Linked DNA regions of Rhinolophus ferrumequinum. The protein of the gene in region 2 purifies or fractionates together with the protein of the main gene of each other region. This does not show direct contact. Links are inferred from orthologs where the notes say so. Each region holds a gene or a part of one and is shown on either strand. Other genes may lie near its edges. The genes, in order: HAUS2 and HAUS5.

Region 1 (15,060 bases), on a different chromosome or scaffold from region 2:
GTAGCAAAAAAAAGCCACCTGTACACTTCAAAGCTATTAATGTAATTGGTTTGACCAATAACCATTGCTTAATCCTTACAATTAAATTTTGTAACTAATGGAACTGTTCTTTCAAATAGGTAAGTGTGTTTCTATGACTGTTTTGCGTGAGGGGCAATCATTTCATTAGCTCATATTTAACAAATTGAGCAAAGAAAGGTCCATAAATCAAGAAGCAATCCAACAGAAAGCTGCCTTTGGCATCTTTCCCATTTTTATTGGAAATACTGACAGCATTCTCCTTTCTATGATTTGTCATGAGGTACATTTTAATCATTAACTAGTTTTTTATTCATTTGCGCCTAAATACACTAGTGACTGAAAGGATAATGTTTATAAAAGAGAACTATAAGCCACTTGAGAAGATACAGATAAGATGGGAATTTTCAAAGGCTGAAGAGGAAACTAGTTCAAGTGAGATTCAGTTAGGCTCTCTGTAATAGATATGCTCCATGTCAAAAGGAGTAGTTAGGCAGGTGATGGTACATGTATAAAGTAAGAAGGTTTAAAACACTGAGGATTGTTCTATACCTAAATCCCCTTCCTAAAAGCATTTTTAAAAAATATTTTTTAACGGTTATAGCTAAAGGAAAGTTTTGAGAATACCAATATGCTATCTCCACAGTATAATTGGTAAGTGTGAGCTTAAGCACCAAATTGTCTGGATTTACACTCTAGCTCTGCCGTTTGCTGGCTGAGTGACTGTAAGACCATTTCTGTGCTTCAGTTTCCTTGTCTGTAAATGGGGATTAACAATTCCTACCTCAGAGTTATTGCAAAGACTCAACATGATAATAATGCAGGGAGAGCACTTAGAGCAGGGCCCAGCTAAGAGCTTAATAAATGATAGCTACTGTTTGTTCTCTCTAGAATGGAGCTCTTTTTGGGTCAAGGATCCCTTTGTAAATTTGATGAAAGACAACACAGCTTATTTCCCCAGAGAAATAGACACACAAACATGAATCATGCATAAATTGGTCTTGAAAACCCATCCATGAATTTCAGATTACAAAGCTTTTCAAAGATTGTGCTACTGAGAAAGAAGAGGGATGAGGCCATAAAAATTAGGCCCATAATACACTAGAAATAGAAGCTGTTGACGTAAAGTCTTTTCTGATTTTCTTCTGTAACATTGTTTGGACACTTGTTTCCATTACTTCTGAAAGGTAACTGAAGTGGTTAACACAACTTTGGAGTCACCTGAATTCAAATTTTGGTTCAGTCATTTACTATCTATGTGACCATGAGCATAATACTAACTTATAACTAAGGAGTTAAAAAACAGTATTCCCTACTGAAATCTTTTTTTTTAACAGTAGTCTCCTTCTTCAAGTTTCCAGTCTTATTATGACAATGATCTTTATCCCCTATAGTCGTGCCTTTGTTTTCTTCCTTCAGTTCTAAATTCATCCTTTAATTACCACTTCAGCTCTGTATCTTTTCCTGCCATGTGTGGATTATGAACATCCCCTTAACTTAAATTTCTATTTCCCAGACATCCTATACTCACCTGTACTTAGAATTAGTTTCTTTAGGTCACTTTCTTACTAAAATTCTAAGTTATCCCAGTTACATTCCTAGTCAGATTTGTAATTTTCAGATTGATACCCAAGTTCCTTATTCTCTAGTTGTTGTTTTTTACCCTTTTTAACTTGATGTCTGCTCCAAGCCTTTCTTTTCTGTACCACTTGGTAAATTCTATTTTAATACCTTACAGGTGAAATAAATGGCACCGTGTGAGTGCTCACTCTGTCCTGGGCACTATGCTGAATGCTTTTTATGTATCTTTTCACCACATCCTCATAATTTACCTGAGGGTAGCAGGTATTGCCTGTTACAGATGAGACTAAATGGCTCAAATTCATAGTTAGTAAATGACACTGGATTCAAACCAGGATCTTTTCAGACTCCAAGACTTATGATCGTAGTCAGTATTCTACACTGACTTCTACGCAAACTCTAAAAGAATGTGGGTGACTTAGTAGTGGTCACTAGAATGTGGGTCTCCAGCCCACAAGTCAACCTACTTTGTTAGCTCATATTTAAGTCTAAATACTTGTGTACTATAACTTGGGGTGTATTGCTTTACATAGTTCCTGCATTCAAAGAGCTCAGTTTAGCAAGAGACAGTTGAATATAGAATGTGAGAGGTGCTGTTGAAACAGATGGAAGAGCAATTAATTTGGCTTAGACTTAGAAAGGGGCTTAGACATAGGGAAGGAGCATGTTAGTAAGAGAGCATTTCTGACTGAGCCAACAATGTAAAGGCAGCTAAAGGTGAAAGACATTGCACTGTGTGTCTAAAGAGCAGAACAATCTGGTATTACTCGGTAGGCAAAGGATAGTGAAGAAAGTTTTTGGAAATCAGTCTGGGTCTAAGTTGTGCAAGTGGTGACTGTCGTAGGGATGGGGACATTGAGGTTTAATTTGTAAGTGCTGATTTAGTAGATGATAAGTACTGGTAAAATATTTAGAGAAATGTGAATTGTTCAGTGAGAAGACCAATAAGATTAATTAAACATTAAAGTTTATTTTTAAAAACTCAGTTAATAATGATAAACTGGCACCCCGTTCCTCCCCAAATTGAGAAACAAAATAACATGGGAAAAAGATTTAAAGTTAGGAGACTTCCTCGTATATATTAAATACTAGGCTGCTAAGATCTCTTGACTTAAAGGTTAAACTAGGTTTGTAAAATGAGAACTGTCAATACATGACATATAATACCTTTGTACCTTCAGTATTTCTTAATCAGCATGGGTCCGATACCACAAAATGTTTCATCAGTCACATGAAGGCATCACAGTACTCATGCAACCTGAACAGGAAACGCTTCTTCCTAATCAGTTTACTTTCAAATAAAGGAGCACTTATAGGTTAAAGTTCTCATGTCTTCCTTTTAAAGGATTAACCTTTCTTCCAGCCAAAGTTTATTACAAATTCTTTATTTAGTGTATTCTCTCCTTCAGAGAATAAACTTGATAAATATAGGTTGTTTTAAAATATCGTAGTAGTGTTTTGATAGGTAATTTGATTAGTATAGTTATAAATACAAAAAGGGAAAAGGATTACCAGAAATGAGACATTATTTCTAACAAAGATTCAGGAAAATCTTGATTATTAAAACCTCTTGTATCTTACAAGTTTTGCATATATGGTTTTAGCTCTTCGGAGCCCTCTACCAATAAGGCACCTGCAGTAGTTAGAATTTGCTACTGCAGCCTTGGGGAACATATCTTACTCTTGTATTGGTGCTTCTCTGACAAAGTACACTTCTAATCAGGACAGTCACATTCATGTACATCCTAAATTCCAAGTATAAATACTGGAACTGAACTGATAGACTGGAATAAAATCACAAATCTTTAGTAGCCTTTCACAAATTATTTGAATTTCAAAAAATGTGAAATGCTAACACAGAGATGGAATGGCAGCTGATTTTATGAAAGTTGACACGTTGAAACTAAATATGAAATTTCAAGCTGAGGTGTGGAGCTATTCTATTACCAGGCAGCACCCCCTCACTGTAGAAATAGCAACTTGCTACTGGTTCCTTAAAGCCAACATTACGATGATTTTGAAGATCAGCATTGTCCATTGCCCTAAACATGACTCAAAATGGAGCACTCTTTCTGTCTCTTGATTCCTTTTAGCTTATTTGAGATAAGCTCTAGAAAGGAAAAAGATCAAATAAAATTATAACCTCCTGGAGTATCAACAGCTCACTGCAGATGCCCTTGACAACAACAAGCGCCTTTGATTCAGCCCGATTGCAACAGGTTCCAAATCAATGTCCTGTATGGATTCCCATGCTCCTGGAGAACATCATGCAAACTTCTTCTTGGTGGCCGTGTACCTCTCCATGTACTAAAAATCATGAAAGAAAAATATGTATGGGGTATTTTGGCATGAGCAAATAGTAGCCTATTTGGGAATTGGGTTTTTATATGATTTTTTTAATTTAGATTTTATCGGATACGGTCCTTCATTTCCTACAAAATCTACCTATTCTAAATGCAAATTTAAAGTACATAGTTTTGGGGTCTTTTAAATTTTTCAGTGTTTTAATAGGAAACCTATCAAAAGACAAAGATGCTTCACCATACATGATCTAGAGAAAAAGTTATCTTGGTATAATACAAGAATTTGCACCAATATATCTTGGTACAGGAATTTGATTCTTAGAACATCTCCAAAATGGGAAACAAATCCTGTTGACAAACAGGATTATACAGACAGCCTCTAGCTGTAAACATTTATGTGGGTTACTTCACTGTTCTGTTCTCTGGAGCAGAGACTAGAAATGTAGAAGTACACTAATACCCACCTTATCATAGCCTTCTAGTTCTCGAAGTTTCTTTATTTCAAAAAGGTTGCCTTCCACAGCAAGCAGACAGATCTGGGAATCACTAAGGATGCTTTGTGGAAGCATGCTGAGCTCCAAGCAGTTCTCTTCGAGGCGAAGAACTTTCAGGCGAGGACAGCAAGATATCTTTACTGAGACCTGAGATATCTATTGAACAACCAAAAACAATAACAGGAAAAAGCATAAGTACTGTAATGGTTTTTTACTAAATTAAAACAAAAAATCTTGACTATGTGTCCTAGTTTTCCTTTTACCGCCTCCATTTTCTCACTACCTACTCATTCCAGAAGCCTCTGTCATCTGGCTTTTGTTAACTACTCCTCCACTTTTTTTTGGGGGGAGGGGGGTTTGGCTTTTTAAAGTCCACCATTGGATTTTTGGAAGTAAAATTTTCTGATAAAAGCAGAAATTTGAGAATCTCACAAGTTTACAGAAAAAAGTTACCTGGAATCCACCACCATAAACATTTTGGTTTATTTACTGGAAGTCTTTTATGTGTATAAAAATGTGTGATTGTATATCTACCCCTTCCTTGAAACTCTTGTATCTAAGTACTGGGTTTTTCTTCCTCTTGAATTATTCCTGGTTTTTGGCTTCCCTTCTTATTTCTATGGACATTTTTCAGGCAGTAGTCCCTAATACTTAATATTTGATCTCTCTAAACTTTCTCCTACAAAGCTCATCCTTTCTTAAAGCTATCATTCTGACCTCAGAATCTGTCTACATTCAAACTTCTGACCTCTATTCCACGCCTGTGTCTCGTTTTTAGTATAACATTTCCATTTGGGTGATGCACCAGCATAATCAACTCAGTATGTTTATTCTCAATAGCACCACTCTTTTAGGCTCTCAACCTTAACAACAAGCAGTTATCTTGATTCACCTCTTTTCCACGTCACCAAATTATATTTATTTTGCCTCATCCTCCAATCATCACCGGAGAACTTGTTAGAAATGCAAATTCTCAGACCCCACCCCAGACCTACTGAATCAGAAATACTGAGAGCAGGGGCCCAGTGATCTCTTAACAGGTTCCCCTGGTTGTTTTGATGCACGCTAAGATCTGAGAACTGATAAAGGCATCAGCGTAGGTGAATGGAGTGAGTGCTCCACTAATCCTTGTTTAACAATGGTTTCTAAGTTTTTCCCAAATATTCACTTTCTTTTTCTAAAAAGCTCAAGAACATACAAGAATATCCACTTAAGGAAAAGATGAGGCCAATCTCCTCTAAGACAGACTAAATTTCATAATAATGTAAGGTCACTACAATCTAGAGTAGTTTCGTCCCAATAAAACTTTTTGCAATGCTTGGAATGTTCTATATGCCATCCAATATGGTAGCCACTAGCCACATATGGCTTTTGAACCACTTAAAATATAGCTAGTGGCAGCTGGACTTGAATTTTTTAATTAATGAATTTCAATAGCCGCATGTGGCCAGTGGCTACTGTATTGGACTATAGATCTAGAAGCCCCAGAAAAACTAAAGGCCACCTGGTAGTCTTCATTATGTTTAATGTTTACCATCTGTGCCTTCTGTCTAAACCAAAGATTGTTTCTCCAGTCAGATGCATATTAACCAAAGAGCTTCCAGAGTAATGGAAACAAATTCCAAATACTGCAATCAAAGCTGTCCACTATGAAATGGGCTGTCTCCAGAATGCCTATCACTGAGAGTTTTTTCAACAAAAGCAAGATACATACTTGACAAACGTCAAAAATAGGACAACTGAATTACCTTTGATGTCCAACTCTGAGAACCTAGGAGTTGAAGCCTCTTTTCAACTCTTCCTGACATAGCTAGCTCCTTGCCAGATGACTAGAGGCATGCTTGAGGAGGATCTGAAGAACTCTTCAAGATTTGTGAGACAGTTTAACTTGAAATTATCTCACTGTTACCCATCCCACCCTCCAAAAAAATACCTACGCAGTGTCTCAACTAACTCTATGGCACTTTGGGCTTTGAAATTAGTCCAGCCCATGATACCCAGCTCCATGATGACATTTTACATAACAACCAGCTAAAACCCGTTAACCTCTAGACCTGGTTCTGGTTGAAGTTGAGTTCGATGACCTGCAGCTCCCCCACTATGTCAGGTATGCTTCGAATCTGGTTCTTAGAGAGATCCACCACATCCAGGTGCCGCAGGCTACAAAGTTGGGGTGGTAGTGCTCCCAGCCGGTTCCCAGAGAGGCTCAGGGTCTTCAGCGCTGACAATTGCCCAAAGGTAGTCGGCAGCTCTCTCAAGTGATTATTGTTGAGGCTTAGCGTTTCTAGTTTTTTCAGATTGCCTAACTCATCAGGAAGAAAAGCTGGCAAAAAAATAAATAAAGTGAACCTGACAGCTGAAAAACAACTTTGATGAAGTTTATAAAAACTATATGGCAGCCTGCTATGCCCCTTGTTAATACACACAATCCTCACGTGCCATTTTTAAGTATTGCATTTTTACCAACATAGACTTCGGAAATGAGGGTGCCATCGAAATGCAGAAAAGCAGTTATGTGTATAATGGCTCTTTGTAAAGGGGCCACCGCACAATCTGACAGCAATTTTGTGGGATTTGGAAGGGCCGCCCCTTCCCATTCCACACCCCCCCTTCCAAACTGGCAACAAAATTAGGTATTTAGATGACAAAGATGGCTTTCCCCTTCAAATTATCCCAATACCAATCATTACACCACTAGAAGAGGCTTGTAGATGTAATTACGAGAGAAAGCTGCAAGGACTCTGACATTCTCCTGCGTCTTGAGCTCTCTGAACGATTTCATAACAACAACAATCAGCTTGTGAGAGAACACCACCCTTCTTAACAGCTGATCAGTAGCAAAACCTTCCCAGACGCAAAAGCCATACTCAGTTTGTTGTTGTTCAAGGAGAGGCTCTTCAGCAGAATGAACTTCCCTATAATCATAGGCGGTAGGCTTTCGATCTTGTTGTTGGACAAGTCGATGGTCCTGAGATTGCTCGTCAGTTTCTGCAACTCTGAGGGGAACTGGAGAAAAGGGTTCACAGCACGGAGAATCCCTCACCAATTAACTTCACTGCCCCCGCCGTCCCTCTCCCTTTAAATTCTCTGGTCGGGTCCCTCCCAGTCTCACCTCGGTCAGCCCACGGTCCTTAAGCTGAAAGACTCCAGTTTTCTGCGCCGTTTCCACATGAGCGCGGAGCGCACTGTTTCCCATCCTAGCTCTGCAGCTCCGGTCCCTGCGGGAAAGAAGTGCAGCTGTCACCCCCTCGGTCCAGGAACCCAGCCACCCCGTCGGCCTCCCGGCTGGGTCTCCTGCCCCGGCTGTCACCTGCAGATCTCTGGATCTTGGGGGCCAACCCAAGAGTGGCAAGGAAGAAAGGGAAAAACAGAGCCCGACCACTTTTGCAGTTGTTCCGCGGCTACACGCCGCTAGGAGCTTATAGAGGATCAGGGAGCCCTGGACTCGCCTCCCACCCCTCCGCTCACAGCCCGCTCCACAGAAGACCCAGGACCCGCGCTCGCTGGGAATGCGCTCTCCCGGCTTCCGCCCCAACGGAAACGGCCTGTGACGTCATCGAGCTGCGCGTCGCTCGCGCCTTGCGTTCTACTTATTTTCGGCGGCACCGGGAGAGGTGGGTCTGAGCCATGGAGGCCGCGAACCCGTGGGACGAGACGTCCGAGCCAAACGCTGCCAGGCTACTGCTGGGCCGTTTCGTAGCATCGGGGTTGGTCACTCAGGTAGGAGGGCAGCGATGGCGTCATTAAGGGGTTGCCCACTGTGGTGACCGAACATCACTCAAGCGGTGGTGCTGGCTGGGGGCTGTACTAGAATAGAGGCAGATGGAGCCCCTTCCAGGCAACAGCAGATACCATTCTGCAATGGGTCTTAAGCGTAGTAGATGGTAATTCGAGTAGACGACGTGTCAAGTGTCTTATCTGCAGGCGACTATCCCAGGTCAGTTCGTGGGAGACAGTAAAGACCAGTGTTCACCCGCTTTTTTTGTCCAGTGATAACTGCCTCTAGATTGTAATGGGTGGCGGGATTGGGAAATACGGCTAGGTTAGTTAAAATATACATTCGCAAACGACGCTCGTTTGTGTGAGATGCTGAAAGATACTTGGGGCGGAAGGCTCTGGGTACAGGAGAGCTCCAGGGGAAGGTCACATTTTTAAGGTACCCCCCGGCCCCCCAAAAAAAATCCGTATTGGGGAAAAAGACCCGAAAGGCTAGAACATGAATGGAGGAAAAGATTAATTTTGAGAAGGAGAGACCAGGGAGATTAGCCCAAGGGGAGGTAGTTTTAGGTTGGACCAGAAGACATGTTCATAGGCCAAATGGAAGGAGCCAACAGAGGGAGCAATGGAAGATGTGAAGGAATAATAGAATGCAGGTGGCAGAAGTGACCAGGGAAAGTGGAATTAAGGGAAATAAGGGAAAAGAATTTTCAGATGAGGAAGTTGAGAATTTCACTAAAAAAGGAAACAAAAAAGTAGAAAGGTGAAATCATCTGCAGAGATTAGCAGTATAAACATGATGGAAGACTTATGGAAAATACTCTTTTTATGCTTAGAAGAGTCATTAGAGAATCCTACTGCCTCACAGTATTTTAAAAGTAAAGAAGCTAAGACCTAAAGAGACCAAGAAATTTGCCCAAGGTCACTCAACTAATGACGTAGCATTAGATACTAGAGCTCTCCCTTTTCTGACATAGTGATCATCCCTAAGATGAACTGTGATAGATGATACTGTGACACTATCTTCAAAGTGTTTAAACTTCAGTTGAAAAACTCTTAAATTACTTGAAGACCTAGTAACAAGACCTTACGGATTGTGGGGGAAACGAGGAGTAGTAATGAATGTATTGGAAAATAGACAAAACATACCACAGCACTCACTAGTTTTCACCTTCCTTACTTCTCTCCTGTGTTTCCTTCATACCAAGTTGCCTAGTACTCTCACTTGTTACCAGTTCTGTAACAAAATAATTTGATAACTCATACTGTAATGTAAGACATTTGGGACTTATCCATCTGGAACTATTGGTGTAAGTATAAACGCCTAAACTAAAGGAGTAAGTCTCTGGTGAGAAAATTTTAGGCATTGATGGATGAGCTGTTTGTTGGAGTGGTGGTTGTTTGGGGGAAGGACTCTTCCTAGTGTCTGTCCTTCAAGAAACAATAATTAGACAGTTACCTGTCTTCCCTATAGGTAAGACCTGCCAATCCATAGTTCCTTAAAACCATTTTAAAATCTTACTGCACAGCGAGTCCCGATGAGGAAACTTACGGGTCTGTAGCATGATTTCACTTTCAACAAATTTTGCATATGAAAACCTACCTTTATTAGGATTCAGCATTGATTCTTTCAAAATGATGTATTATGTGATCCCTTTAAACAGCCCACCCCTTAAGTGCACTTTATCCCATGTGCATTAAAAATTAAGAGTGATGCTTAAAACTGTGACACGATACATCTCTTCTAGAAAACAGCTTGTTTGAGCTTTCTTCTGTTTTGCTGTATCCATTAGAGAATTACTTAGTGAAAGAAAGGTAGGGTTAACTGTCTGTAAGATAATGAGGTATTTGCTTTCATTTATGCCCTAAGACTGCTTTAGTGGCCTTACATTCTAGATATTTTTCAGGCAACTTTGATTGAGTATGACATCTTGATCAAAGCTCTCTCTACTGGCAACACATAAGATAAGGATCTGGACCTACAAAAAAACCAGACTCTACTATTTACATATATATGTATTTCCTCGATATGTGTCCTGTCCTCCTCTGCACTTTCACCCCCATGTTAGAGCCTCTGCTCTAACTTCTCTGTTGTACAGCTCCCCTTTTAATGTCCGCCAACTAGAGTTCAGTATAAAGAAGGGACATAAAAAAGAAGAAAGGATGCCTACAGGTGTGTGTGTGTGTGTGTTACACAGTGTTGTTAGGATTTTTATATTAAGCATAAACGTCCTGGATTTCAGCTGCATGTGCCTAGAAAAAGTAAACAAATACCATAAACAGACCCCTTTTCTCAGGATTCCTTTCATTCTCTAGGGTCCCTTTGCTCCAGTGGCATGTAAAGTATATAATATATAATGGCAATAGTCAATGGTAAAGAATTTTCTCTATTCCCTAATCCTTGCTTTTTAAAAATTTTATTTAGGTGTAGGGCTAATTAACATTCTTCAAATAATTAGAATTTCTGTTTACTAGAGGAATTTGGCTGCTCTTTGTTCCTCCTTTTTGGCTCTCCCCTTCTTGAACATTCTTATTTTCCTTCTGGTTTCTTGTACAAGTTCTTGGCTAAGCTCCATTACGCAGTTGTTGAACCCAGTAGTTTACTAGTTTGCAAATGTGCAACTAAGATTAGTGAATACATATAGAGACATGGAAAGATACCAGAGAGTGAGTAAGTTACAATGAGAAATGGGAGATGTTTTACTTTCATTCACCTTCTACCGAGAGAGAGCAGAAAGACAAGTCAGGCTGATATGATGGAAATACAGTAGATTTGATTGTATCATTGCAACACTGATAACAATTTGCAGTGTGAAGTTGGAGTAATACTTAACCTCACCAATCTTCAATTTTGCCGTCAGTAAAAATATCTTGTGTTGTCTACCTCAGTGAATGGCATAAATATCTGTTCAGTCACCTGAAACAGGATCCTTGGAGTCAGTATTAACTTGACCCCAACTACCCCTGACAACTAGTAGGACTTATCAAATACATCTTCCCAGGGACTCATATCTCTGCCTTCCTTTCCTTTTTAACTGCTACTGACCTAGTTCACATTCTTATCTTCTCATCTGAAATGCTGTAGCAGCCACCTGTCTACATACCCATCCTCCAGTTTACCCTCCACTAGAGTTTTTTGTTTTATTTTTGTTGTATTTGTTGGCTAGTTACCAGAGTGAGGTTCTTTTATTATAGCAAAATCCACATAACATGAAATTTACAGTTTTAACCATCTTAAAGTATACAAATCAGTGGCATGAAGTACAGTCACAATGTTGTGAAACTATTTGCAAAACTTTTTTTATCGGGCTGGCCCGGTGGCTCAGGCGGTTGGAGCTCCATGCTCCTAACTCCGAAAGCTGCCGGTTTGATTCCCACATGGGCCAATGGGCTCTCAACCACAAGGTTGCCAGTTCGATTCCTCGACTCCCGCAAGGGATGGTGGGCAGCGCCCCCTGCAACTAGCAATGACAACTGGACCTGGGCTGAGCTGCGCCCTCCACAACTAAGACTGAAAGGACAACAACTTGAAGCTGAACGGCACCCTCCACAACTAAGATTGAAAGGACAACAACTTGACTTGGAAAAAAGTCCTGGAAGTACACACTGTTCTCCAATAAAATCCTGTTCCCCTTCCCCAATAAAAATCTTTAAAAAAAACAAACAAAAAAACCACTTTTTTATCATCCCCAGTGGTAACCCCATACTCATTAAGTACTCATTCCCCACTCCTTCTTCTCCCCAGCCCCATTGGTTTTAGTTTTCATTCTACCCCCATTTAAATTTCTAAAATATGTATTGTATATAATCATGTTACTTCTTCAGCAGAAAATTTGCAGTTGCTCTCATTTCTTCATTATGATTGCGTGTCATAGCTATCAAGATCTTCCATGAATATGCAGGAAACTATGTTTCCAGATTCATCTTCTCCTTCTCACATATCTATTAGTACTAACACAGTTTGGAGTATTTATGATAATAAGTTCTTTCTATCTAGAAAACTTTTTTCTTCCCATCCATCATGAGCTTGTTAAGGGCAAAGAGCTTGTTTCATTCATTCTTGATTTTTTTTTCCATTACCTATCTTAACAAATGTCTATAAAATTGGTTATTATCAGTCAGCAAATTTGCTGTGAAGGACCAGAGAGTAAGCGTTTGAGGCTTTTCAGTCCACATGGTTGCAAGTGGGCTGTTACATTGTGAAAGCAGCCAGAGATAATAAGTAAATGAGTGAGAAGTGGAGTTCCAATAAAACTTTATTTCTGGACCCTAAAACTTGAATTTGATATAATTTTCATGTGTCAAAATATTATTTTTCTTTTCATTTTCCCCCCAACCATTAAAAAATACAAATACCATTCTTAGCCCATAGGCTGTACAAAAACAGGCAGTGGGCTACATTTATCTCATGGGCTCTAGTTTCCTAATCCCTGTCCTATATGATCTCTAAAGTTCTTTCCTGTACTAACATTCTAGAAAAGCAGAAAAGGATACAGAAAATTATGGATGAAGCCAAGGGATGAACAAGATAACATTCTTATTCTGAGATAACATGCAATTTAAGGAGGCAATATAATGGAATGAAAGGATAAAAACGGGGTAGCCTTTTTAGAAGAGTAATTATGCCTGGACAAAACATCCCTTTATCTGAGAGTCAGAATGTGAAGAGATAATATGAACGATGTGTAACCAATAGAAGTCATTTAATGAGTCAGATAAATAACCCCTGGGGGGTAAGGGTGGGAGGGGAATGTTTGATCTTAGCCCCAGGAATGTCTGAGAGTTTAGGTCTTGGTCTTTTGTGTAGAGGTGATTCTCTACCAACCTCGGAATCCTCTGATAAGCTATCAGTAATGCAACTCAATTGTGCCTGGTACTTTAGGAAGTAATGCAAAGTGATTAAGTCTTCGTTTATTCTTAATTTTTAAATGTTGGGGCAAAGGCTTTGTGATATTGGTGGCTTTAAAAACAGGAATTACCCATCGCTACTGTTCTACTCTATACTACATTTTTCAGGGCCAGTGTTGGACATTATATATCCTCATGTTTTAGATCCATGGGCATGCTTTTCCAATGCACATAGAAACTTTTTTGTGACATATTATTGCTTTCTCTGTTCACTTTTCAATAGGAGATGCTAAATATATCTAAGAAATCAGCTTCTTGCTTTGTGAACTTCTCCAGGCTACAGCAGATCACAAATATTCAAGCTGAAATCAACCAGGTAAATTATGTTGAACTTTTTACTTTATACTTCTAGTACAGGAAAACAAAATCTTAGTTCGTTCCACCAGCAATTCTCTTGCACTTAGAACAGTGTCTAGTACATAGCCAGGTAGGTGTTTACTTATAGTAGTTAATAGTATTTGTAATAGTAATAGTAGCAGTTAGTAGTAGTAGCAGGAGCACATGGCTCGAACACCAAAATGAAAAGCTTCAGTAAATCCCCTGGGCTGTCATAACAAATCATCCTCCCACCCCTCTTAAATATTCCTGGGTTAAAGAGTGTCCATTTTTATCAGAGTTTAAGCCTTTACATCAGGATACTTCTGAGTGACCTAAATATTATTTTTGTTTTTACTGTAGAAAAACCTGGAAATTGAACTTCTAAGACTAGAAAAAGATACAGCTGATGTTGTTCATCCTTCCTTTTTGGGTAAGTGGTTTGGTTAAATGGGTAATCATTGGAATTTCAGCTTTTTCTTAGATTACCTTAAATAAGCACCAGGCATTATGATATACCATTATTTTTCCTGGTATTTCCCCAAAGCTAACCAAGTTTTCTATTTCTGTGCCCAAATAGAAGTCCTGTTGGCTTGACTAGTGCAAATTGCATAAAAAGTGACCAATGTAGGAACTCCTCAAAGTCAGGAGAGCTTGAAAGACAAAAAAGGGCTGAGGAATTTTTCAGATGAAAGGAGCCTAAAGGGACATGACAGCTAAAGCACAGTGTGGTCATAGGTTGAATACTTGGTTAGAAAAATCTTTTTTGCTATAAAGGACATTATTGGAATACTTAGTGTTTAAATATGGGCCGTATTAAATATTGGTAGTATTGTGTCAGTGTTAAATTTTCTGAATTTGATACTTTAATGTAGTTATATAAGAGAATGTTCCTATTCTTGGGAAATACTTGCTGAAGTTTTAGGGGTAAAAGGTCCTAATATCTGCAATTTACTCTCAAAAGCATCAGCAAAAATATATGTAAGAGTATGGAGAGAAAGAGGCAAAAAAAAAATGCAGCTAAGTGTTAACAGTTGGTGAATCTAGGTGAAATGTATATGAGAGTTCAATGAGCTATTCTTGAAACTTTTCTGTACGTTTGAAATGTTTTCAAAATAAAAATTTAAAAGAAGGGGCAGCCAATTAGTTCAATTGGTTAGAGCGCGGTGCTCTTAACAACAAGGTTGCCTGTTGGATACACACATGGGCCACTGTGAGTTGCGCCCTCCGCAACTAGATTGAAACAACTACTTGACTTGGAGCTGATGGGTCCTGGAAAAACACACTTAAAATAAATAAAAAGTTAAAAAAAAAAAAGCATTACAAAGATATTTTAAAAGAAAAGGCAGTTGGCAGCTATTAACTGAATTCTGGGGAAAATATTGAAATAATCAGAAATAGCTTATAAGACAAATGTTTGTTTTTTAATGTTTGTATAGACTATTAAAAGCAAAGATGAGAAAAGAGACTTTGTGAAGAATATGACTCTGGCTATAAAAACTGAACTAGGGGTAGAGTTGAAAAACACAAAGAATTTAGCACTGGGTTTGGTTTCAGTAGCAAAAGTAAGAGAAAATAGTTGAAAATGAAATTGGTATTGGTTTTAAGGATAGCAAAAGGGAACTATTTAGGAGGGAAATGGAGGAATAATCTTTGGTAGAGTCAAACCAAAGCAGAGAAGAATTTATTAGTGATTTCAACATGTACTTGTCCTATTGCTAACT
Region 2 (15,403 bases):
GGAGCACTCTGGAAATGGGACCCACAGGGCTTGCTGACAGGTTGTAGGTGGGGGCGGGGGGAGCTAGGGGCCTGGAAGGAATTAAGGATGACTCCTGCATTTCTGGCTTTGGCACCTGGATGAGAAGGGTGGAGTCATGTATGGAGGGAAGGAAACCAGGTCGAAGAAAAACAAAACTGCTTTGGAACAGAGGGAACTCAGTCCTGTTGGGACATGTAAAGTCCACGATGCCCCTGAGGTTGGACGCAGCTGTGGTGGGTTTTGGGCTGTCCCTGCACACCACTCCCTGCCCATGGCAGAGGGGAAGGCAGGGAGCCCGAAACTCAAAGGCCGGAAAGTGATCTCTTCCTACTTTGCTGATGGCACTCCGATTCATTTGTCATCAATTCACCTCTTCTATCTATTTAATCCTTTGATTCTTTGCTGTACCATCGGGACAGCCCTGGGGCTGGACCATTCTCACCTCTCTCCCCACTGAGCTTTTGGGGCCAGCATCTGGTAGGTACCCAGTGAGTGCTTGCTGAGAAAATCTAGGAATGAATGACTTTTCTGAGTTTCAGTTTCCTCATCTGTAAACCGAATCTTAACCCCTAACTTCCCTCATGATAAGGACTGGAAGAGACTGAGCACGTGTAGACAAAATGATCGCGATCTCCCCAGAGCACAGAGCGCTTACTGCACGCCCTGCTTTGTTCAGTGCCCCATCTGGGTAACCTGACTCCATTTTCCTAGCAACTGTATAAGGTACTATTGTTATGCTTACTTACTGAGGAGGAAACTGAGGCACAGGGAGATCACACAAGAAGAGACAGTGCTGAGAAGACAATCCAGGTAGTTTAACTCCATAGCCCAGTTTTTAACTACTCAAGTATACTATTGGATGGTGACGAAGGAGTACTTGGCAATTAGATGGGCAGTGTCACCTAGAGCACACACCCATCAGGAGTCAGACTGCCTGGATTCAAATCCTAGCTCTGCCATCTGGGCAGCTACCAAGGCCTCTGCGTCCAGGTTCTACGTCTGTAAAACGGGGAGAATGGCAGCACTAACCCCAGGAGCGGCTGTACAGATGCAACTAGTGGACATGCTTGAAGCACACAAGGCTCTGCGGCAGCAGGGGGCGTCGTGATTAGTTCTGGAGGCTGACGGTCCTGGGAATGGACAGGCCTACCCTGGGTAGATGGTCCTGGAGATAGGCTGGTCTTCATGTGGAGAAGATCCCAGCACCGGAGACTCCGCTGGTCCTGGAGGAACAGAAGGTCCTGGCGAAGAGAGGTGGCCTTTGGAAGGAGCAGCTCTGGAGCCTGGAGGGAGGGGTGAAGGACAGTCACCTTGGGAGGGATAGGAGTGGGACGACAGGTACTCACCTAGGGGACAGGTACTCACCTTCCCTGGAGGTAACCCCAGCTTGTGGCTTAGCTCTATGAGGCTGGAGCCCCTTGAGGATGCAGGATGCAGCTGGTGGATGGACGGCAGGACTGTGGGCAGGGGTTGCAACCTGCGGGGAGAGTCCAGGTTGGGTGGGACAGAGAGGGAAGCTTGGTTCCAGAGGCTCTGGGGGCTGACAGGTGGGCTCGGGAGGCCCCGGAACTTGGAGGTGGGTCTGGGGACTAGGATTCCAGAGTGGGGCTGAGGACCTGAGGGTGAGGTCTGGCAGCCTGGGAAAACGGGGGGTCTGGGATTATTGAGACCCAGTGGCCCAGGGACTGACAGTCATCCTAGCGAGGGGATGGAGGGGTGGTCCTAGTCTCACCCTCTGGGGCTGTGCCGAAGCAGGGTGCCCAGCAGAAGGTGGGGCAGATGCCGGGCCTCCTCCTCCAGACAGTGAAGCAGCTCCTGGCTCTGTGGTGCCACGGCTTCAGAGGTGGGGGCCACTTTTCGCTGAACCAGAGCCAGCACCTGTGCGGTAGGAAAGGGGTAGGAGGGACAGCCTGAGAGCACCAGACCCTTCCTTAGGAGACTGGGTCCTATCCAAATCCCAGCTCACCTCCCCGGGGCTCCGGCACAAGTGTGTCTTGCTGGCTGAGTTGCCCTTGATGAGCAAGCGGACCTGTTCCTGTGTCTCCTCCTGGAACCGAAACAAACTGCTTTTCCTTCCAACCTCCCAGCCTCTCGCTCTGCCCTCCCCTTTGCACAGGTCCTGCTTCCTCTTGAGACACTCACCCTGGGCCTCACCCCAGACCAGGAGGCCCAGCTCTGGATCATAAGGCTCCCAGCCTCACTCGGCCGGCCACCAGGCCCTGCCATCTCCCCCGGGGTCCCACTTCTCACCATCAGCCGGCGCCAGTGCAGGATCCGCTGTTGTTTGGCCTGTAGCTCCTGCAGCAGAAGCTGCCGCTGCACAGCTGCCTCCTCCAGCTCGTGGCTCTGGGTACACAGGGCCTTGAGCTCTGCCCACAGGCCACAGCTCCGGAGCTCCAGCAGCAATGCCTGCCTGGGGGACAAGCAGGAGAGAGCAAGGGACAGGAAGGTGACTAAGACTCACAGTGGAGGCGGGGAGATAAGATCTGTAGGAGCCACAAACACACAGAGCCGGGAGGCAGACGGAACCACGGGGGCAGAAAAAGTCTAGTATCCTGAGACCCTAAGGAGAGAGATGGCCCAGAGGCCTCTGCCCAGGGAGCCCCCTCACCTCTCGCTGGGTTCGGGGGTACATCTTGCCACCTCCTCCATCAGGCTCTGCAGGCGCCGGGTCAGAATTTGATGCTCCTTCAGGAGCGGGCCCCGCTGGGTGACCAGTGTACCCACAGTCTGCCAGCCCTCCTGTGGCACGGGTACAAAGTCAGGGTGGGTGTCGTCCCTGGGGGTGAGGGGATCGAGTGGTCTTGGCATGGGAAGGGGATGGAGTCTAGGAAGGGTGCCTGCCGGTCACCTGGATGAGATGCACCATGGACGGCAGGGCCTGGCTGGAGTCTGACTGGTCTGGTTCCTCGGACCTAGGGATGGGTGACACTGCTGAGAGAGGAGCCTGTCTCCTTGCTTGGACCTTCGAGGGTAGCCAATGTCAGCCCACCGGGGTTCGGTCCCTTGCTTTCAGTTCCACCCTCATGAGCAGGTCCTGACCCTGTCCCTGCTCACCCAATCACCCGTGCTGCCTGACTACAGAAGCACTCTACTTCACACCTGGCTATCTCTGTATCTCGGAGCCCGTCCGGACTGCACAGGGACCGGATCTCTGCCTCCCGCTCTGCAGCCAGGTGCTCCAAGGCGGCCAGGACATGGCCTGGAGGGTGGCTTGTCAACAGTGTCTAGTAGAGGGAGGGGTGAAGTCAGGGCAGGATGGGGGCAGGGCGGTGAGCTCGGACCCTGTGGGGACCAGGCTGCGATAAAGAATCAGGTGCTGGCATCCTGAGGTTTGATCATGGGGCAGTGGGCGTGGCCTTTTCTGAGAGCCCTCCTCACCTCCACTGAGCTAAGCCACTGCTGGTAGGAAGCTCCAAAGTGGTCATCTCGAGAGGTTCTGTGGGGTTGGGGGAAGGGACAGAGAATGTTACAACACACATCTGTGATTACCACCACCCTACAAAGTGGGAGCTGTCACTGCCCCCAATTTACAGACGAGAAAACCAAGTTCATCTATGCTGGCTAGACTCGAGTTCCCCACTTATACCCACTTGCTGGCCTTGGGCCCTTACACATGTGCTGCTTGCCTGGAAAACCCACTCAGCCTTTTACCCTTGCTAAGTCTCTTCCCTAGAGAACCCATCCTTCTTGTGTCCTTAACTGGGCAGGGTGTCTCCTCTGGGAACCCAGAGCCCCTCAGGCTTCTTTCCCCATTCCCCAATAGCCCTAACCACTGTGTGATGGGTCTGTCTCCACCTCTTCCTCGCCGGGGAGCCCTGTCAGGGAAGGCCCTGGGGCTGACACAGCCCAGAGGCCCAGTGTCCGAGGAATTAACAGCCAAGTACGTAACTCCTGCCAAAGCCCAAGTTCTCTCCAGGGTTTCTGGGAGCTGGGGGACACTCACAGGAAGCTGCCTCCTTTGGTCTGAGGAATCAGGAGGTTCTGTAGGAACTGGGTTCGGAGGGTACAGGCTGTTCGGACATCACCCTGGGAAGAGAATGGGGCATGAGGAGGACCCAGGGGTCCACCTGGGTCCCCACCCCTTCCCCCATGACCCAGGACTCTTACCAGGACCTCAGGCTCTAGGCCCAGGGCTGCTGATGTCAAGGGTCCAAAGGTTATATCCACTTTGGCCTTCCTGGAGAGAGGAGTGCAGTTGGGGCTGGGGTCCCTGGAAGGAGGGAGCTGGGAGAACTGATATCTGTGCCCCCTCCTGCTGCCAGCAAAGCTAGTTACAGGGATCACTGACCCTGGAGCTCAGGGGCCACCTCCAAAGTTAGGCCACTGCCATCTGGCTGGATGACTACATTAGCCTCCTCACTGGTCTGCCTGCTCTCGCCCCCTTCAGTCTGCTCTCCACCAGTAGCTAATGATCCTGTTAAAACCTCAGACAGATCAAGTCACTGTTCTGCTCAAAAACCTCAAAGACAATATGATATGTCCTCATCACCCTCAGAATAACAGCAATGGGTAACAAACTCTTCTGAGCACTTTGCATGACTTAACTCACTTAATTATCATGCCAACCTTATAAAGCAGGTAATATTATTCCCATTCTATAGATGTTAGAAACTGAGGCACAAATTTTGCCCAAGGTCACACAGGTGTAACTGGCTAAGCCAGGGCATCAACTCAGCCTCAGAGTAGAATTCCCACGCCTCCATGGTGCTTTGTCCACCTCTCCAATCTCACCTCCTCATGCTGTTCCTCTCGCCTATGATACTTAAGCTGAACTGCCCTCCTGGCTATTCTTCCCACATCCCAAGTTCAGGGCCTCTGATCTGGCTGTCCCCTCTTCATGGAAATTCCTTCCCCAACTCAAATGTTACCTCTTCAGAGAGACCTTCTCTGACCATCCTACCTAGAATAGCACCTCCCTTCTACCTTCTATCATATGACCGTTCCCTCACAGCACTTATCTCTACCTGTAATTCTACGGTGTGTTTGCTTCCTAGTTTACCATCTGCCTCCTCTGCCTCGGAGTGTAAGCTCCATGAGGGCAGGGTTGTCCCTTGTTTACTGTTCTTTTCCAACACTGGTGTTCTAGATATACAGTTGGCACCATTCTAGTCACTGGAAATACAGGTGGTTGAGATGACAAAACTTCCTGGCCTCAAGGACTTTAAAACCTAACGAGTGGAGCTCAGACATCTGGAACTCAAGAAGGGGTCAGGACAGAGTCCTGGGGTCTCTAAGGAAAAGGTCTGTCTACCCAGCCTGGTGATGGCTGGTCCCTGGGCACCTGAGGCTCACCTCTCTATGTCCTGCAGGCGCCTGAGCTGATTCTGTAGCCACTGCATGGGATGTTGGAGCCGACGCTGCTGTCTTCGCACGGCCCCAGCTTGTGCCCGGAGGAGGAGAGCACGCCGCTGGGTGTCTTGCATGCCCTGCAGTGCCTGCTCCAGGGCTGTGTCTGTGGGAGGAACAGGGGTGGCCATCAGTACTTCCCCAGCCTCCCTTCTGCTGCCCATCTGTCCAGTCCCATGGGTCACCCTGAGCCTCGCTCTCTCGATCCATTAGCTCCAGGCTCTGGTCTAACTCTTGGATCTCTGCCTGCAGGCGGGCGACAGCAGCTTCCAGCTCCAACTTCCGACGTGCCTGGTGGGATCAGGTGCAGGATCAGATGCGTCACCTGGCTGGGGCTCGGCCTGGCCTGACTGTGCTTTGCGGGGCACCAAGCTCCCCACCCGCCCGGGGGTGTGGTAGAGGGTTTTTCCTAAGCTGGTCATGTGTCTGAACCCCTAGCTCCAGAAGAGCACTAGGGAACGCTACTGGCCCCCCTCCTTCCTCCTAGAATGATATCAGCCTCCCAACCCATTTCCCGTCTCTGTACTGATGATACCACATCTCTGTCCCAGTGAGCCCACAGCTAGGAGTCCCGAGGTCTCCTGGAAGCCTCCCCCTAGATGTCACCTGGGCTCCGGGCACATACTGACTGGGTCCCACACTGGTCTCAGAATCTCTCCCAAACTAGTCCATTCTCTCATCTTCCCTCACCAACTTTGATGCCTCATGTCCATACCCCGCCCCCCCCAGCTCCTGACTGTCTCCCTCTGGACTGTAAACCCTGAGTGCATGGATTGGGGCTGTCTTGTGAGTCAGTGTCCCCAGCGTCACCCAACACAAGCCTGGGCCTAGAGCAGAAGATCTACAAGTCCTCTTTCTGGATGAAAAAAAAACCTTGTAGCACATACTTCTCACCTCTGGATTGCACTGGTGGCCATACCTGAGGAAATGAGGCCAGAGTTAGGGGACGACAGGGGCTTCCAGGGTGAGGCTGAAGGTGGGGACAGGGCTGGATGGGACTGGGGAAGATAGGAAGGGAGAGTGTTGAGGACCAGTTACCAGAGTAGGTTTCCCCGGATCTTCTTGACATTTCTGCAGTGGAAAGGTAGGAGGAAGAGTTACTGTGGGACATGCCTGTGTCCCCTCCCCGGCCACAGCCTCCTTCATGCAGCCAGGCTCACCTCTGGCTGTGCACGTGCCGCAAGACGTAGGCCCAGATGTCAGCCCCCTGGCCCAGACACAGCCTGTGGGGACATCACCCAGGTAGGAGGATTCTCATTCTCGGGGTGGTGGGGAAGGTCTTTACTAAGGAATCTCATTTCTGGTGGGGGGGAGGGTTCATACTTTTTGGGGTAAGATATTCCCTCCTGGGTGGGTCACTGAGAGTGTGGGCCTCTCACTGGGTGTGGGGATATTTCATTCTCTGGTGGGGTGCTCCCTTTCTTCTGGGAGAGGATTATTTCCAGTTACTTCCAGAGGTGGGGGTGGGGGTATACTGCCAGGAAGTGCTTTCATTACTGGATGCGGGGTTCACTCATACAGATTCAATCTCCAATGGGTTTGCTGACTCCAGAGTGTCCTCACTGGCTGGGGTGGGTGGTGGGTGGTGGGGTGCTGCAGGGACAGCCTTACCCAGGAGATCCTATTTAAACACAACACGGGAAGGGGGCTTCATTAACGCATCACGGACGACCCTCACTGGTGCCAGGGACCTCACTCTGGGCGGTCTCAAGGGTGGGGATGGAGTGTGGGGGTTACCGCCAGGACGTCCTCACTCAAGTTCAGTATTCTCTTCCTAGATATATACTACACGGGGGGTGGGGGGGGTGCGCCCTTAGGGGTTATTGTCCCTGGGGCGAAGGAGGAGGAAGGCGCATCTTCAGTAAAGAAGGGGTTCTTCCAGAGACATCATCTCCAGCATGGGGAGTCCTCACTCCCAGAGCGGCCCTCACCTGCGCAGCGTCGACTCGGGGGCTCGGGCTGCCTCGGGTGCCTCCATCTCTTCCGCCGCCCAGCATACCAGTTCCCGCACTTCCTGCACTAACTCCATGACAGCGCCTCGGCCGCCGCCGCTTCCCGCACCCTCTTCGAGCTTGGCGCCCGGCTCTGACGTCCCCAGCGCGCCGACAGTGACATCATCGGTTGCCGGGTAGACCAGGGCCTCCAGGCTTTGCAAGGAGCTGTCCTGCATCTCTCACTCCTCCAGAATGGGTCGGGTTGAAAGACGATGGCGGGGGCGTGCAAAAGCGGTGGGGCTCACTTGCTTTTTGCAACCTTCCTCTCACTACCAGTTGTTCCCTATGAGGTAAAACGTCCCTAAGGTCTCTCTTGATTTTCTTAACAAAATGGGACTTTCATCTTAGGAGGATGAGAACCAGGAGAGATGCCAAACTTACTGCTCTTGTCGCAGGTCTGAGTAAGGGATACCATGACCCAGTATCTCCCTGTCATGCTTTCTTCCAGATTCATTTGTCCTTACCATTCCATAACATTCATGACCCCTAGGCTGGGGTCACCTCAGTGGCTGAGACAGCCCCAGTCTCCATGCTAGGGAGCTCACAATTCAGTGGGGGACATAGACGCATCACCAGGTAGGGATGGTAGAAAGTGAGCAGCAGGGTTTTGTCAATTTGGGACGCAGGGCGTGTAAGAGGTCTGTGGGGTGCCCCAGAAAGCACTGGATACTAGGGCTGGAGTTCCGGAGAGCGCAGTCAGCCTCAGATGGAGCCCTGAAAAATGGCAACATTCAGGGACCTTTTATTCAACATGCTTGCCTAGGTCAACAGTCTGTCCTCAGTGTCCAGTGCAGAGTCTGACTCTCTAAATAGTTGTTGAAAAAACAAACGGGGGTGGGGGGTGAGGCAGGTGGTGGAGTGACACTAAAGCTGGGAACCCAGGGAGGAGCGTGGGGCAGGATGAGGAGTGGGGCCCGAGGACAGTGGTGGGCCACAGTAGGGCTATGGAGCAGATAGGAGGGGCCTGAGTGTAGGGGGTTGTTGGCTGTAGAGGGGGCTCATGCAGCATGAGGCCCTGGGCTCTGGTGGGCATTAGGTGGAGCAGACCTTGAAATAGGGACTGTAACCATCTGGTGATATATTTACCTTCCACTCTGGTTTGTAAGTTATGAGGGGGTGTGGTTGGAACTTGACTGGTGACTACTATGTTCCTAGAGTCAGACAGCATAGTCAAGGCCCTTGGTCAACATAAATAGATTTCTGGCATGAATGCACAAATATTGGCAGGAGTGGAGGCTGCCCTACCCTGTCTCTTATGGCCCCCATCTCTTGGCATGGTCCCAAGGTTGGTCTTGAGCTCTGGCCCAGTGGGCTGCCTGAACTACCACTTCCTTCCCCCATCAACCACCTCAAATTGTTCACTCAAGTTGACAACACTTGACACTCCAGACAGTGAGGAGCACCAGTCCCATTTGGCCCAACTGAATACTTAGAGCCAAGGGTTAGTAACACAGTTGTATATATTTGTTGGTTTGTTCATGAACTGTAGAGGATGTTACCGAGAAAATAAGTCCATCATGTAGAAAATCAAGAGGATGAATATGATGAGGCTTCCCATAACAATCCCTATGACTGCAATGTAGAAGACTTGGTGGGAGGTCTCAGCTGCCAAGGCTCGTTCATTCCACTTGTTGCTGTGCCTTGTCTGATTTGAGGGGAGAGGTAGAACAGGAATAGATGGGCTTAAACAGGTATTGTACGGGAGTAAACCATAGAACTGTACGGATGTAGGGTGAGGACCTGAACCCAAAGCCGGGAAACAAGGAAGAATTTGAGTCAGGATTATGGCCAGGATGGAGAGGGAGAGGAGGGCAAGGACTGGCGTGATGCAGCTTCTCACCTGGATAGAGAAGATCAAGGCTATAATGCCTATGGGAAAACACAGGAAGAAGGCCAAAATCGATAGGCACATGTAATCTTTGGGGGGCTTGCCAGGCAAAATTTCAAACGCCTGGGGAAAGAGAGTGGGTTATGACTTAGTATGGCTTCTGGATTCCATCATCCCCTCTGACTTCCCTTTTCACACTAACACATCTCTCCTTGTCTCCCATAAATTCTTCATTGACCCCTCCCTTTAAAACTCATTGACTATCTAACTCAGCCATGTCCCTTCTAACCTCTCCCTACCCCTGTTAATACCTCCCTGTCCCCTGGAAGTCCCAGCCCCCACCTCCCCCTATGCCCTATAATTACTCTCTAACCCTTTCCCTGTCTCCTATAACCTCCTCTATAACTGCCTTGCAGACCTCTACAGCATGTCTCTCTTGTCTCCTTCTACTTCCACTGTCTCCATCCCACCCCAAAATCCTTTACTGACTCTTAAGATTCTCATTTGTGCTCCCTGAAACCTTAACAGATCCACTATCACACTTCGTTCCTATAACACCCTCACTGTCACCCAATCAAACTTCTCTTTGCACCTATAAAACACCCTACTAAGAAGACCCTCACTCAATACTTTAACACTCACTTTTCATCTGTAAAACCTTTATTGTCCCTTATAAAACTCTCATCCTATGAAACTTCTAATGTCTGTAGTTCTCTGTTGCCCCATTTATAATATCCCTCACTTTGTCCCTATGAATCTGTCTGATCCTGCTGTGACCCATAAACTCTTCCCTCCTCAACCCTGCTCCACAAGCTCTCACTAGGCTCCTCTAAGACCTTCTTTAAGCACCTATGTGATAGTGGATCAGCTGAGGTTTCAGGGACCCAGAGAAAATATGTGTAAATCATGTGTCTGACAAAAGACTGTATCCAAAATATATAAATGACCCTTAAAACTAAACTGTAATAAAAACAACTTGAGCACTAGTTGTTAAAAACAACTCTAAGTCCTTCTCCTGTCACTCCTAGCTTGTCTCTGTTTCTTTATAAAGGCCTGCCATTCCTCCCTCTAAGATGTTCTCTCTAACCAGCTTCTTGACCCTTTGAACTCCTTTTGCATCCACTTATTACAGCCTCCCAGTTCTCTTAAAGCTGTGCTCCCTCTAAATACTTCTCAATTTATAACACCCTCTTTGCCTGCTTAGGAAGACTTCCTTGCCCCTCATTCCCCTTTAACTCCTTCCCTCCCACCTGTACCCCCTCCCCCATAAATTCCCTCCCTGTCCCCTGAAACACCCCCATTAGGGCATCTGGATCTGGCTACACGGAGCCTCTCCCTCACTCCAACCCGCTGGGGATTACCATGGAGACCAGGCAGGCCCCTCCTCCTATCCTGGCTGTTTACTTTCATTGGCTGGTTGGAGATTGTCTGTGATATGGCGGGAAGCCAATACTCGCCTGATTGCTGATTGGTCTGATGGCCTGCCAGTCCTTCTTACACTCTTGGGTGATTGATCAATCCAGGGACTTGTTTTTTTTACAAGTTTAGTTTTGAGGGTCTTTTATATATTTTGGACACAGTCCTTTGTCAAATATGTGATTTTCTCTAGGTCCCTGAAACCTCAACAGATCCACTATCACACTTTGTTCCTATAACACCCTCATTGTCACCCAAGCAACCTTCTCTTTACCCCTATAAAACACCCTACTAAGAAGACCCTCACTCAATACTTTTAACACTCACTTTTCATCTGTAAAACTTTGTTTCTTATAAAAGTCTCACCCTATAAAACTTATAATGTCATCAGTAGCTCTCTGCTTGTGACATTTATAATATCCTTCCCTTGGTCCCTGTGAATCTGTCTGGTCCTGCTATGACCCTTTATTGTTCATCCATAAACTCCCACATAACTTCTTACCTGGTTCTTCTAAGACCTTCTTTGAGCACCTATAAACCTGAAGTCCTTTTCGTGTCACTCATAGCCTTTCTCTGTCCCCTTATAAAGTCCTGCTCTTTCTCTAAGACCTTCTCTCTACCTCTGCAACCACCTCCCTGACCTTTGAACTCCTGTGTCCACCTACTACAGCCTCTGATTTCTCCTAAACTTGTGTTCCCTCTAAATACTTCTCTAATTATAACACCTTCTCTGCCTCATTATGAACCCATCCTTGACCCTCATTCCCCTTCTACCCCCACTATTCTCTTCCTTCCACCCTCACCCTCCAAAACTCCACGCCCCTCCCTTCAGGCACCCACATTAGGGCATTTGGATTTGGCACTACATAGAGCCTCTCCTTCACCTCAGCCTGGCAGGGATTACCATGGAGACCATTTAGGCCCCGCTTCCTAGTCTATCTTTCCACTTCTATTGGCTGATTGGAGGTTGCATGATAGGGCATTGAAGCCAATACTCACATGGCTGCTGATTGGTCTGAAGGAGTTCAGGCTCTTTCTACTCTCTCAAGTGATTGATCATTCCGGGAGTGTTTGGGGAGACACCATTAGGGCAAGAGTGATGTGTACCTAGGAGTCTTGGATTGCTTTAGGTACCTTGTGAGGGGTCATTTAACAAGTTGTAGTCAGGTTGTCTAGGTTGTGAAGGGTGATATTTGTAAGAATTAACATCTGTTCTTGTGCCTATTTGCCATTGTATATCCTTTTCGGTGAAGTGTTAGTTCAAGTCTTTTGCCCCTTAAAAAATTGGTTTGTTTTAAAACTCATAGATACAGTCAAGAGAATTTTGGGTATCAGAGGGGAGGGAGTGGGGGGAGAACAAAGTGGGCAAAGGAAGTCAGATACGTATATGGTAACAGAAGGAAACTAGACTTTGGGTGGTGAGCACGCAATAGAATATACCAATGTCATAATATAATGTACACCTGAAATTTACATAATGTCGTTAACCAATGTTATCCCAACAAATGCAATTAAAAATTGTTTTTTATCACAGTGAAGTTTCAGTGTCATTTATATATTTTAGATACAAGTCCTTTGTCAGATATGTGATTTGCAAATATTTTGTCTGGGTCTGTAGCTGATCTCATCATTTTCTAACAGTGTTATTTACAGAGCAAAAGTTTTTTAATATTGATGAAATCTACATTTCTTTCTTTTAGGGACATGTTTTTGGTATCATATCTAAGAACTCTGCTTAACCAAGGGTCAGGAAGATGTTCTCCCATGTTTTCATCTTAAAGTTTGATAGCTTTATATTTTACATTTAGATCCATGATCCACATTGAGTCATAGAAGATGTGAGGTTTTAGTCAAAATCAATGATGTTTCGCATATGGTGGTTCAGTTATTCTAACACCATTAAAAATACTATTCTTTCTTTGATAAATTGCCTTTGGATTTCTTTTTAAAATAAATTGGCCATATATGTAGATTTCTTTCTGTAGTCCTTATTCCATGCTGTTGATCTATGTGTCTGCCCAGTTGTCAATACCACAGTGTCTTATCAATGTAAATCTACAGTGATTCTTAAAAATTGGGTAATGTGGGTACTCCAGCTTTATTCTTTTTCAGAATTATTTTGACTACGCATTTCTAGATCTACAAATCTTTTCTGGTCTCTTAATAGGAATTGCATTAGAATTTCATCTCAATTTTGGAGAGATGTTGAGCCTTCCAATTCATGACCATAAGAAGGCTCTCCATTTACTTAGGTTTTATTTCTTTCATCAGCAGCTATAGTTTAAACACAGAGCTCATACACATGATACTTTATTTTTATTTATTTATTTATTAAAATTTTATGGGGGAAGGGGAACAGGACTTTATTGGGGGAACAGTGTGTACTTCCAGGACTTTTTTCCAAGTCAAGTTGTTGTCCTTTCAATCTTAGTTGTGGAGGGTGCAGCTCAGTTCCCAGGTCCAGTTGCCCGTTGCTAGTTGCAGGGGGTGCACCCACCCCACCATCCCATGCAGGAGTTGAACCGGCAACCTTGTGGTTGAGAGCCCACTGGGCCATGTGGGAATCAAACCGGCAGCCTTCAGAGTTAGGAGCATGGAGCTCTAACCGCCTGAGCCACCGGGCCGGTCCCTACACATGATACTTTAGATTTACATCTAACTACTTGCTTTTTGGGAGCTATTGAAAATGGTATTTTTTTAAAAATTATTTTCTGATTGTTCCTTGATAGCACATGGAAATACAATCGATTTTTGCATGTCGATATTGCAACCTGTGATATTGCTAACCGCATTTGATGTATTCTAGGAGGCTTTTTTTTTTTTTTTTGGATTCCTTTGGGATTTTCTACATAGACAATCATGTCATCTGCAAATAACTGTAGTTTTATTTCTTCCTTTATAATCAGTATGCCCTTTATTTCTTTTTCTTGTGCTGATTAAGACTTCTATCTGATGTGGATAGAAGTGGTGAGAGTGGACATCCTTGTCTTATTGCACATTTCAGGAAGAAAGCCTTCTCTCTTTCACCATTACATATGATGGTAGCTATAGGTTTTCTGTAGATATCTTTTATCAGGATGAGGAAGTTCCCTGTTAGTTCTGGTTTGCTGAGTTTTTATTGTGAATGGATGTTGAATTGCCTTTTGTGCCTCAATTAATCATGTGGTTTTCCTTCTTTGGACAGTTAATATAGTGAATTACGTTGATTGATTTTCTAGTATTGAACCAACTTTGAATTCTTGGGAGAACCCATGTTGGTGATGGTGTATGCTATTTATATACTTCTGTTTTTGGTTTTCTAATATTTCATTGAGAATTTTTCTGTCTATATTCATGAGAGATATTGGTCTGTAGTGTTCTGTACACAGTCTTTATCTGGGTTTAGTATTAAGATAATGCTAGCCTCATAAAATGAGTTGGGAAATAGTCCCTTCTCTTCTATTTTCTGAAGAGATGGTGTGGAAATGATGGTATTTGTTTGGTACAATTTACAAGGGAAACCATCTGGGTCTGGAGATTTCTTTTTTCAGAAGGTTTTCCGTTACTAAATCAATTTCTTTAACAGATATAAAATTACTCACATAATCTCTTTGTCCTCGATCAGTTTTTGGATTTTGTTTTTGAAAAATGGGTCAATTTTCATCTAAGTTGTAAAATTTACATATGAAGCATTGTTCGTAATGGTCCCTTATTTTTACTTTAATGTTTCAGGGGGTCTGTAGTGATATTCTCTCCTTCATTTTTGATATTTGTGTTTTCTCTTTTATTTTGTGTTTTCTCTTTTATTTTGTGAGTCTTATAAGTTTATCAGTTTTATTGGTCTTTTCAAAGAACCAGCTTTGATTTCATTGTTCTTCCCTATTGTTTCCCTTTTCAATTTCATTAATTTCCACTCCTACCTCTTCTTTCTTCTGTTTGCTTTGGGTTTGTTTTGCTCTTATTTTTCTACTTTCTTAAATTGGAAGCTTATATTGTTAATTTGAGACAGTTCTTATTTTCTAATATAAGCATTTGAGATTGTACATTTACTTCTAAAGACTGCTTTCATTACATCCTACATATTTTGATGTACTGTATACAAGTACTTCAGTTTTAATCAGTTAAGAACATTTTCTGATTTCCCCTCACCCATGAATTATTTTGACTTGCGTAGGTTATTTCCCAAGTGTTTGGAGATTTTCCTGTTATCTTTCTGTTATTGATTCCTAGTTTTCTTTTATAATGGTCAGCACATTAGTTTCCTATTGCTATGTAAGAAATCACCATACACTTAGTGGGTTAAAACAGCAGCCATTTATTAACTCACAGTTCTGTAGGTGAGAAGTCCAGAAACATTATGTCTGAGTTCTCTGCTCAGATTCTCACAAAGCTGAAATCAATGTCTCACATGCACACACATGAAAAGCTGAAACATTCCCTTCAATTTTATTGGTTTAAATAAATGTTTTTCTGAAATAGCAACCCATTATCAGGGAGCTAAGGACATTAAGGGCATGAAAGTGAGGACCCCCAAGGTGGATGAAGACAGCTCTGGAAGCCAAGAGGATAAAGTAGTATGATGTTCCTGGGCTAGTGGATTGTTTGGATGTTGAGTTCCTTGGCTGGTAGGTTTCCTGGCTAGGGGATGTCTCAGCTGTTGGTTTCTTGCATGATGGCTAATGTGGCTGGTTAATGGCGTGGTGGTGGGTCTTGTTAGGGAGTGGACCTGTGGGCTCCTGGGCCTGGCCTTCATGCAAATAGAACATAGTAATAAATGATGCCTACACCGATGAGTATGGCGAATACATCCAGCCAA

Evidence for each region.
Region 1: the proteins of HAUS5 (region 2) and HAUS2 purify together in Homo sapiens (affinity purification with mass spectrometry; 5 studies listed by BioGRID and IntAct, with this or other methods). This does not show direct contact. The link is inferred for Rhinolophus ferrumequinum from reciprocal best matches to the Homo sapiens genes HAUS5 and HAUS2.

Annotation. Positions count from the first base shown.
Region 1 is NC_046289.1:62,989,123-63,004,182, reverse strand, and holds the start of HAUS2 (HAUS augmin-like complex subunit 2), read left to right. Parts: upstream 1-7,960; 5' UTR 7,961-8,023; coding exon 8,024-8,116; intron 8,117-13,244; coding exon 13,245-13,337; intron 13,338-13,699; coding exon 13,700-13,769; intron 13,770-15,060. Other genes in the region: LRRC57 (leucine-rich repeat-containing protein 57), read right to left, coding at 3,865-3,906, 4,367-4,552, 6,451-6,719, 7,264-7,402, 7,509-7,592.
Region 2 is NC_046298.1:36,006,737-36,022,139, reverse strand, and holds the start of HAUS5 (HAUS augmin-like complex subunit 5), read right to left. Parts: upstream 7,443-15,403; 5' UTR 7,400-7,442; coding exon 7,302-7,399; intron 6,594-7,301; coding exon 6,531-6,593; intron 6,442-6,530; coding exon 6,409-6,441; intron 6,290-6,408; coding exon 6,265-6,289; intron 5,662-6,264; coding exon 5,556-5,661; intron 5,477-5,555; coding exon 5,317-5,476; intron 4,202-5,316; coding exon 4,132-4,201; intron 4,051-4,131; coding exon 3,968-4,050; intron 3,461-3,967; coding exon 3,403-3,460; intron 3,249-3,402; coding exon 3,124-3,248; intron 2,937-3,123; coding exon 2,873-2,936; intron 2,764-2,872; coding exon 2,633-2,763; intron 2,435-2,632; coding exon 2,272-2,434; intron 2,069-2,271; coding exon 1,988-2,068; intron 1,900-1,987; coding exon 1,754-1,899; intron 1,499-1,753; coding exon 1,387-1,498; intron 1,305-1,386; coding exon 1,172-1,304; intron 1-1,171.